Linked DNA regions of Ovis aries. The protein of the gene in region 1 purifies or fractionates together with the protein of each later gene. This does not show direct contact. Links are inferred from orthologs where the notes say so. Each region holds a gene or a part of one and is shown on either strand. Other genes may lie near its edges.

Region 1 (3,816 bases):
AGCTCTGAGGAGGTCAGCTGCCGCACCAAGTACAAGGCCACGGAATAACTCTGGGGGCGGCGGGGCGGGAAAGGGCGGTTTAGTCAGGGCCGGGCTGCGGGGGCAGGCTGGGCAGAGGCGCTTGGGCAGAGGCAGGCGGGACCGGCCACTCACCTTGCCGTAGTTGCCCCAGGTGACAGTGATGCGGTTGGTGGCCGAGGACAGGTACATGAGGTGGGTGAGGTTGATGGGGCGGCACGGCCTCTTGGGCTCCACTCCAGGTTTGTTTGAGGGGTAGTAGCCCTGGGAGCAGACGCGCCAGCTGCGACCACCTCTAGGTGCTGTGCCCCCGCCCCTCAGCACTCGGCCCCACCCCACAGCAGACCCGGCTGCTGGGCATCCACTCACCGGCACCGAGCAGTAGCTGTGGTTGACCTTCACGGCGATGTTGGGTGGGTACTGGTCTTCCTGAGGGCTGCTGGTGTCTGAATAGCAGATTCTGCAAGGACAATGAGGACCATGGGGTCATGAGCACTGTGGGCAGGGGTGGGCCCGCTGGGAGAGGTGGGGAGGGCAGATGGGGGCCTAGGGGGAGATGACATGACCTGTGTCTGGTCTGGCCTGACAGGGGATCTCAATGCTAGACTGTACAGGTGTGGGGAGGTCCCCAGGGACCCAGTGTCTGGCCTGAGGTGGGGGTGGGGGTGGGCAGCGGCAGCATGCCGGCGCATCCAGGGACAAGGCCAGAGAGCAGAAAGGGAGGATCAGGTGGAGGCGGAGGCAGTCTGAGAGGATCCTGGAGTGGGGTGAGGCAGGGCTTCAGCCATCCAGGATGGTGGAGGGGAAGGTGGGCAAGGGTTGTGTCCCCACCCACCCCTGTGACCAGGCACACCTGGGCTTACCTTAGGACAACCTGCACGGCCTTGACCCCAGGCTGCAGTTCTCTGTGTGGGGAGCAGAGGAGGGTCAGTGAGAGGGCCTGTGCCCAGCAGCCAGTTTGAGCCTTAGTCAGGGACCAGCCAGGTGGACTAACCCGCGACCTCCCACGGCAACCAAAGGCCTCAGGGCACTGCCTAGAACATTCTCCCCCACCGTCTACTTGCTGGTGACTTGGGCAAATGATCTCTCTCTGGAGAATGGGGGCCAGTGTAGAGGGTAAGAGGGCTAGTGGGTGTGGGCCCTGTGCCTACCGGGCGGCTGCCCTGGTGGTCACTTGTCCCAGCTGGACACTGAAGGCCTCAAGGGGCAGAGTCAGAGCCTGGGACCAGCCTGCCTCCCTTGTCTGCTCACCCAGGGTGGTCCTGTCCCCAGGGGACACAGGTGGTCACCACTGGGGGCTCCTGGTCTTAAGGAGGTAGGGGCAGGATGTTGCCCCACACCCCACAGAGAACGACCCCATCCTGGATGTTGGGAGCAGTGAGGGGGACCTTGTGAAAGGGTGATGACTGGCCCACCTGGGGCCTGTGGGTCAAAGGTGCTGAGAGTGTGTGGTGGGGGCCACCCTTCCTGGTGAAGGCTTCCCGGGCTGCCTGGTGGCGGGCACAGCGCACCTGGAGTTCCGGATCAGCTCCACCTGTCTGGGGGTCAAGGCGAAGATGCAGGGGCTCTCCTGAAGCTTCTCATTATTCTGTGGAACTGACAACAAACGTGGGGTCAGGGTCAGGCCTGGGCCCTGGCAAGGGTGCCAACCACCATCATCCCTCTAGGCCTGACCCTGTTCAGACTGGGCCCACCCAGGTGGGATGGAGGCAGGGCCCACTGGGGATAGTGGGGGGTTGGATTCTGCCCCTTCCTAGGGCCATTCATCACAGCCTATGGTCCAGGGAACACTCACATCCCCCATGTCCCCCACTGAGGGCCTCTTGGGAAGCAGCAGGCTCTACAACCCCTCTGTTCAAGAGGGCTGAGAACTGGACTTTCCTGGTGGTCCAGTGATTGAGAATCCACCTGCCAATGCAGAGGCCCAGGTTCCATCCCTGGTCAGGGAACTGGATCCCACAGGCTGCAACCTAAGAGTTCACACACTAAAACTAAAGTTCCCACTTCACAACTAAGGCCTGGCATAGCCCAATAAATACATAAATAAATGTGTGTGTTTTTAATGAAATGGGTTTAGGAGGCAAAAAAAAATAAATAAATAAAAGAAAAGGATTTTAAAGTGAAAGCTGTATGCTTCCTCCACAAGAGGCTAGGAAAAAAAGCACAAACTAAAAGCCAAAGCCATTAGAAGGAAGGAAACTAAAGATAAAGATGAAAGTCGATGAACTAGAAAGCCAACAACAGAGAAAACCAACAAAGCCAAAGTTCTTTGATAAACACTGAGCTAGACTGAACAGTAAGACTGTGAGAATACCAACTGTCAGGAACGAGAGATGACAGCAGTAGAGACCCTAGGGCCTTTGACCAGGGTGGGCGGGGGGAGCAGGAGAGGGGGCTGTAACTTCACACCAATAAATTCAATAATGTAGAGGGTACGAACAAACTCTTCCAAACACACAGATTATCAAGACTAGCATCGAAACATACAGAAAGTATGACAAGCTTTTTATCAGTTTAAAAAAAAAAAATGAACTCGTGATTCCATCAGATGTTTAAGGAAGAAGTCATATGAACTACATATAAACTCTTCCAGGGAATTCCCTGGTGGCCTAGTGGTTATGATTCCAGGCTTTCATTACTGGGGCCGGGGTTCAATCCCTGGTTGGGGAACTGAGATTCCACAAGCCTCTCAGCACGGTCATAAATAAAACAGACAAACTCTTTCAGAAAGGAAAGGAGGAAGGACACTTCTTGACTCATTTTAATGAGGCCAACATAACCCTGCTTCCAAAACCTGACAGAACTGCATGAAGAAAGGAAAAACATAGCTGAGTATCTGTCATGAATGTGAAACATCTTTAACAAAACACGAGCAAACAGCCAGGCCTCTGGGATATGGCCCAGGAATGCAAGGTTGGTTTAAAAACCTCTACTCAGGGACCTTCCTGGTGGTCCACTGGTTGAGGATCTGCACTTCCACTGCGGGGGGTCAGGTCGGATCCCTGGTCAGGACACTAAGATCTGGCATGCCACTCAAGGCATGGCCAGTAAATACACAAACAGATGAAACCTACGAAACCTCTCCTTACAATGGCTAAAAATGACAAGGCCAGCCGTGCCAAGTGTTGCCAAGGATGTGGGGCAACCAGAACTCTCTGCTGAGGTAACAGCGAACATGGCTGTGACGTGAACAACCACCCTGGAAAACTGTTAGCCAATGGCTAATAGAATAAAACATATATCTGGCCCTGTGACCAGCAACCCACTGTTAAAGGTATTTCCCAAATAAGCAGAAGTCAGTCTACAAAAAGACTTGTGCAAGAATGCCTGGCTAATCTATTGCGTGTAGCTCTGAACTGGAAGCAACCCGCCTGACCAGCAATAGGAGAGCACGTGGACAAGCTGTGGTACCTTCATACGATAAAACCTGTAATCCAGTCACCGACATGAACGGACGTGAAGCCACACAGCTGAAACAAAGAAGGCAGATGCAGAGATGGCCATGCTCTGTGTGTTATGTCACCTTCCTGAAGAGGCAAAACTAATCCACGGTGACAGAACTCAGAACAGAGGCGGCCTCTGGGGGCAGTGGGGGGGGGGGGGCGACTCAGCAGGGATGGAAATGTTCTGTGTTTGGTGGCACTGATGTTACTCAGCACATGCCTCTGCTACAACTCAAATGACAAGCTAAGTATCTGTGGATTTCACTGTATGGAAACTGGATTTTAAAGTTAAAAAATTTAAAACTACCCTGAGGAGTGGTGATCATTCTGTGACCAATCAAAACCTGCAGTCACT
Region 2 (4,548 bases), on another chromosome or scaffold:
TGTTAAAGATGTTGAATGGATTATTAATGAATATTTCCTATATTTTAATTTCTTTTGAAAGGAATTTACCTTGTTGCCTTTATGGGTAAAATCTTCTGAGGAATTCAGTGGTGTCTCTTTTTTAATAATAACTTTATTGATGTGTTAATTCACATACTATAAAAGTCTCCCTTTTAAGGTGTATGATTTGATGGTTTTCCCTATAGTGACAGTTATGCAGCCATCACAAGTATCAATTTTAGAACATTTTCATTACCCCTGAAGGACTGGTGGCTCAGTGGTAAAGAATCTGCCTGCATTGTAGGAGACACCAGAGATGTGGGTTCGATCCCTGGGCTGGAAAGATCTCCTGGAGAAGGACATGGTTACTCACTCCAGTATTCTTGCTGGAGAATTCCATGGACAGAGGAGCCTGGCACTTTATATAGTTCATGGAGTTGAAAAGAGACAGGGCTTAGCAACTGATGCAAAGGAAATGCCATACCTATTAGCAATCATTCCTCACCCTCCCCTACCTAAACCTTTGGCAACCACTAATCCACTTTTTTTTTTTTTTTGGTGCTTTGCCTGTTCTGGATGTTTCATATAAACGGGGCTATATAGCAAGTGGCCTTCTGTGACTTTCACTTAGCGTGTTTTCCAGGTTCATCCATGTTGAAGCATGTACCAGTACTTCATTCTTATTGATGACTAGATAATATTACATTGTATATATTGATACATTCATCAGTTGATGGGAATTTGAGTTGTTTTGGCTATTAGGAATGATACTGCTGTGAACATTTATGTACATATTTTTGTGTGGGCATAGGTTTTTGGTAATTTTGGATGGAATTGCTGAGGGTATGATCCCTGGATTATATGGTAACTTTGTGTTTAACATTTTGAGGAATTGTCAGAGTCCTTTTCCAAGGTGGCTGTACCATTTTGCAATCCCATGTGCAGTGTATGAGGGTTCCATTTTCTCACGAATGCTTTTTGTCTGTTGTTTAGATTTATCCACCTGGTGAATGTTAAGTGGTATCTCTTTGTAGTTTTGATTTGCAGTTCAGTAATGATTAATGATTTTGAGTATCTTTCATGTCCTTATTGGCCATTCTTCTTTGGCAAAATGAGTATTAGAATCCTTTGCCCATTTAAAAATTATTCATCTTTTTATTGTTGTCGGTGATCTCTTATAACAAAGATGGCTATTGCTGATGGATAAACAGCATTTGGTGCCAGGTGATGGCGAATTTTTCATGTGTATTAGTGGTTGACTTTTAGCTTTAGTTACTTGTTAATCAAGAATATTTTAAAGTGCTGCTCTTCAGAAGTAATCCATTTTAAAGGTTCTGTTAAGATTTTACTTTAGGGTGGCTAGTACAGTCAACAAGACTTGATTGAACATGCCTCTATAATAATAAGGTCTAACTTTAATATTTTGGGAATGTCAAAAACGGCAACATTTTAATTAAATCATTTAAAACTCTAAGCACCACATTTAATTATGTGCATTGAGTCTTTGACTTAATTGAAGCAATTCCATCTTTTCCAAAGTAATTGAATCTGCTTTATGAAATGTGTTCTGATATCTGTCTCTCTCTGTTTTTTTTAGATTATCCTGAATACTACATGTCTAACAGTTTTTCTTGCAACGTTAACTGTTGTTTTTCGCTGCTTCCAAAAGATCAAAATTGCTCCAGAAATTGGAGACATATTTGATTTAAAAGAAATAACTTTAACAAATGGACAATATGTCTATTACGAATACACCAACAAGTAATGATGCCTGTCTGAGCATTGTACATAGTTTGATGTGCCATAGACAAGGTGGAGAGAGTGAAACATTTGCCAAAAGAGCAATTGAAAGTTTGGTTAAAAAGCTGAAGGAGAAAAAAGATGAATTGGATTCTTTAATAACAGCTATAACTACAAATGGAGCTCACCCTAGCAAGTGTGTTACCATACAGAGAACATTGGACGGAAGGCTTCAGGTTAGTCTTGTTCCAAGGTTTCTTCTGTACTTTGTAATGGCAGGTTTTTACAAATCCTTGTTTCCTCTTAAGTTACTATGGAAATTTCATGCTTGCTCCATCTCTTTAGATACTGTAGTACATCCTATAGTACAGATATTATCAATACAGGATCCTGTACTAATACACTATATGGAAATAAATGGAAGGATGTATCTTCTTTCAATAGAGGTATAGCTTAAAAGTTTTTAAAAATGTTTTGACTAAAAAAAATGTTCAGTATAGAAAATTTGGAAAATAAAAATCAGAAGAAAACCTACGTCTTTAGCCCTTTGGTATTCATCCTTGTAGCCTTTTTTTCTTTTTTGGTATTATATGTACAACTCAGCTTGCTTTCTTTCCTTTTTTTTTTTCTTATAATTTAGAAATTTGGTATTGTATGTCTGGTACTTTTATGTGAAAAACAATCCAGAAGAATTCAACAATATTTCTAAAACTTACGGAGTTAACTTAAATTTACAAGTCTTTACCTTTTGTTTCCAGGGATCAAATTTTTCATGTAGAATTACATAATCTCATGTGTTTGATATTTTTAAAGAAACATATAGAAAACATAATGTTAGGTTTAAAATTTTTTATTTCTAGATTTTAGGTATTGTTTCTTCATTAAACGCATACTTTTTTTGTGTATTTTTAAAACCTGAGCCTAAGCCTTGAAATCATACTTTAAGTTTACTACTTTGTGACCTTGTCCAATTAAGTTATTTTGCACTTTAGTTTTCTCGTTTAAGAAATAGGAATTTTAATACTGACTTTGTAGGATTGCAAGGATTAAATGAGAGTGTATCAAGTGCCTTGTATAATGTGTGATGCATAATTGATGCTCATTAAATGGTTATTTACTTTTCTTAGGTGGCTGGTCGGAAGGGATTTCCTCATGTGATCTATGCCCGTCTCTGGAGGTGGCCTGACCTTCACAAAAATGAACTAAAACATGTTAAATATTGTCAGTATGCATTTGACTTAAAATGTGATAGTGTCTGTGTGAATCCATATCACTATGAACGAGTTGTATCACCTGGAATTGGTAAGCAGGCTTCACTTCTATGCTTAGAAGCATAAAGGGGAAAGATATCAATAGTGTTTTAATTTTTCTAAGTTAGATTGTAAATTTGGAGATAGCCTAGGATTTCAACTAATTTTAAAACTCAGATATTTTTAATGAAATAACGTGTATTTAAATTTGAATTCTGAGAAAGCTTATATTTTGACTACTAAAACTAAGTGTACATACTTGATATTTTTCCTGTGTAGAACACTGTTATTGAAAAATAAGATGGAAAGCACTTTTGCATTGTTAGATAGCATTTATACTACTATTCTTGAATTGAAATGGTTCATGAAAATTTTGAATCTCTGGCTTAAATTTATATTCTGTAATTTTAAATATGGTGGAAATTATTTTCATTATAATGATTAATATTTTATTTTTTTTCCCCTTTAAAAATTTAAGATCTCTCAGGATTAACACTGCAGAGTAATGGTAGGTAATCCCTTTTCTTTTAACTTTCTCTCTTCTTTTATCCCATGCCCTTTATTTTTTATTGACTTAGAACTAGTCTGTATGGGTGGGTGCTGATAACATTTACAAGAAAAGTACTTACTGCTTTGAAAATGTACATTTTGCAGGGGTTGGGGGCATGCATCAGCATTTAAAACTGGATTTAGTAGGCTATTGACTCTTTGAATTTGAACTGCTATTTATGATTGCAAGTAGAATAAAAAATGTGATGGGGAACATAAAACATACACAGAAAGAGTAACTTTTGAATTGGTAAAAACTGGCTATTTTAGAAGTAAATCTCACAGAACCAGTTTCAGTAGTTATAAATAACCTGTTTGATAATTTAGAATCATGTGTAACATAGTTTAAAAACACCCAAATTCTCAGTTTTCTTTATTTCAGCCGAACTTATTTTTATGATTGATAATTTTGTGAATGACTTAAAACTGTATACTATATTAATTTTTTTTCAGTCTTGTTATATTTTGAGTAAATAAAACTAGGCTACTTTAAAGTATATGGTAATCACAGATGTTCTAGGCCTATTTTTAAAAGGAGAAAGTTTTGAGATAGGAAAATGAAACAAACAGGAGTGTGTTTTTTATTTTTCATGTAGTATTTGAGAACAGAGATCTGTTAAAACTTTAGCTCTGTTCCTTGGAACATGTTAATGAGCTAAAATTTCTGTAAGAACTAGTTACTTTGAACAGAAACTGATAAAAAGCCACTGTCACCTTAGAAGGCTTCCCTGATGGCTCAGATGGTAAAGAATCTGCCTGGAATGTGAGACCTGGGTTTGAACCCTGGGTCGGTCAGGAAGATCCTCTGGAGGAGGAAATGGCAAACCACTCCAGTGTTCTTGTCTGGAAAATGCCATGGACAGAGGAGCCTGGTGGGCTACAGTCTGGGGTCGCAAATAGTCAGACACCACTGAGAAACTAAACCAATACTATCACCTTAGAAAGGTGTGCCGTTGTTCTGAAGGGGAATTAGTGGTTCAGCAGCACTTTTGCTACAGAATCCTAGAAA

What was found.
Region 2: the proteins of PIAS4 (region 1) and SMAD4 purify together in Homo sapiens (affinity purification with western blotting, with the first as the bait; 3 studies listed by BioGRID). This does not show direct contact. The link is inferred for Ovis aries from reciprocal best matches to the Homo sapiens genes PIAS4 and SMAD4.

The regions. Positions count from the first base shown.
Region 1 is NC_056058.1:17,788,073-17,791,888, forward strand, and holds part of PIAS4 (E3 SUMO-protein ligase PIAS4), read right to left. Parts: intron 1,615-3,816; coding exon 1,530-1,614; intron 924-1,529; coding exon 882-923; intron 479-881; coding exon 388-478; intron 283-387; coding exon 154-282; intron 51-153; coding exon 1-50.
Region 2 is NC_056076.1:50,866,185-50,870,732, forward strand, and holds the start of SMAD4 (mothers against decapentaplegic homolog 4), read left to right. Parts: upstream 1-1,727; coding exon 1,728-1,976; intron 1,977-2,867; coding exon 2,868-3,042; intron 3,043-3,468; coding exon 3,469-3,498; intron 3,499-4,548. UniProt on the Homo sapiens protein: In muscle physiology, plays a central role in the balance between atrophy and hypertrophy. When recruited by MSTN, promotes atrophy response via phosphorylated SMAD2/4.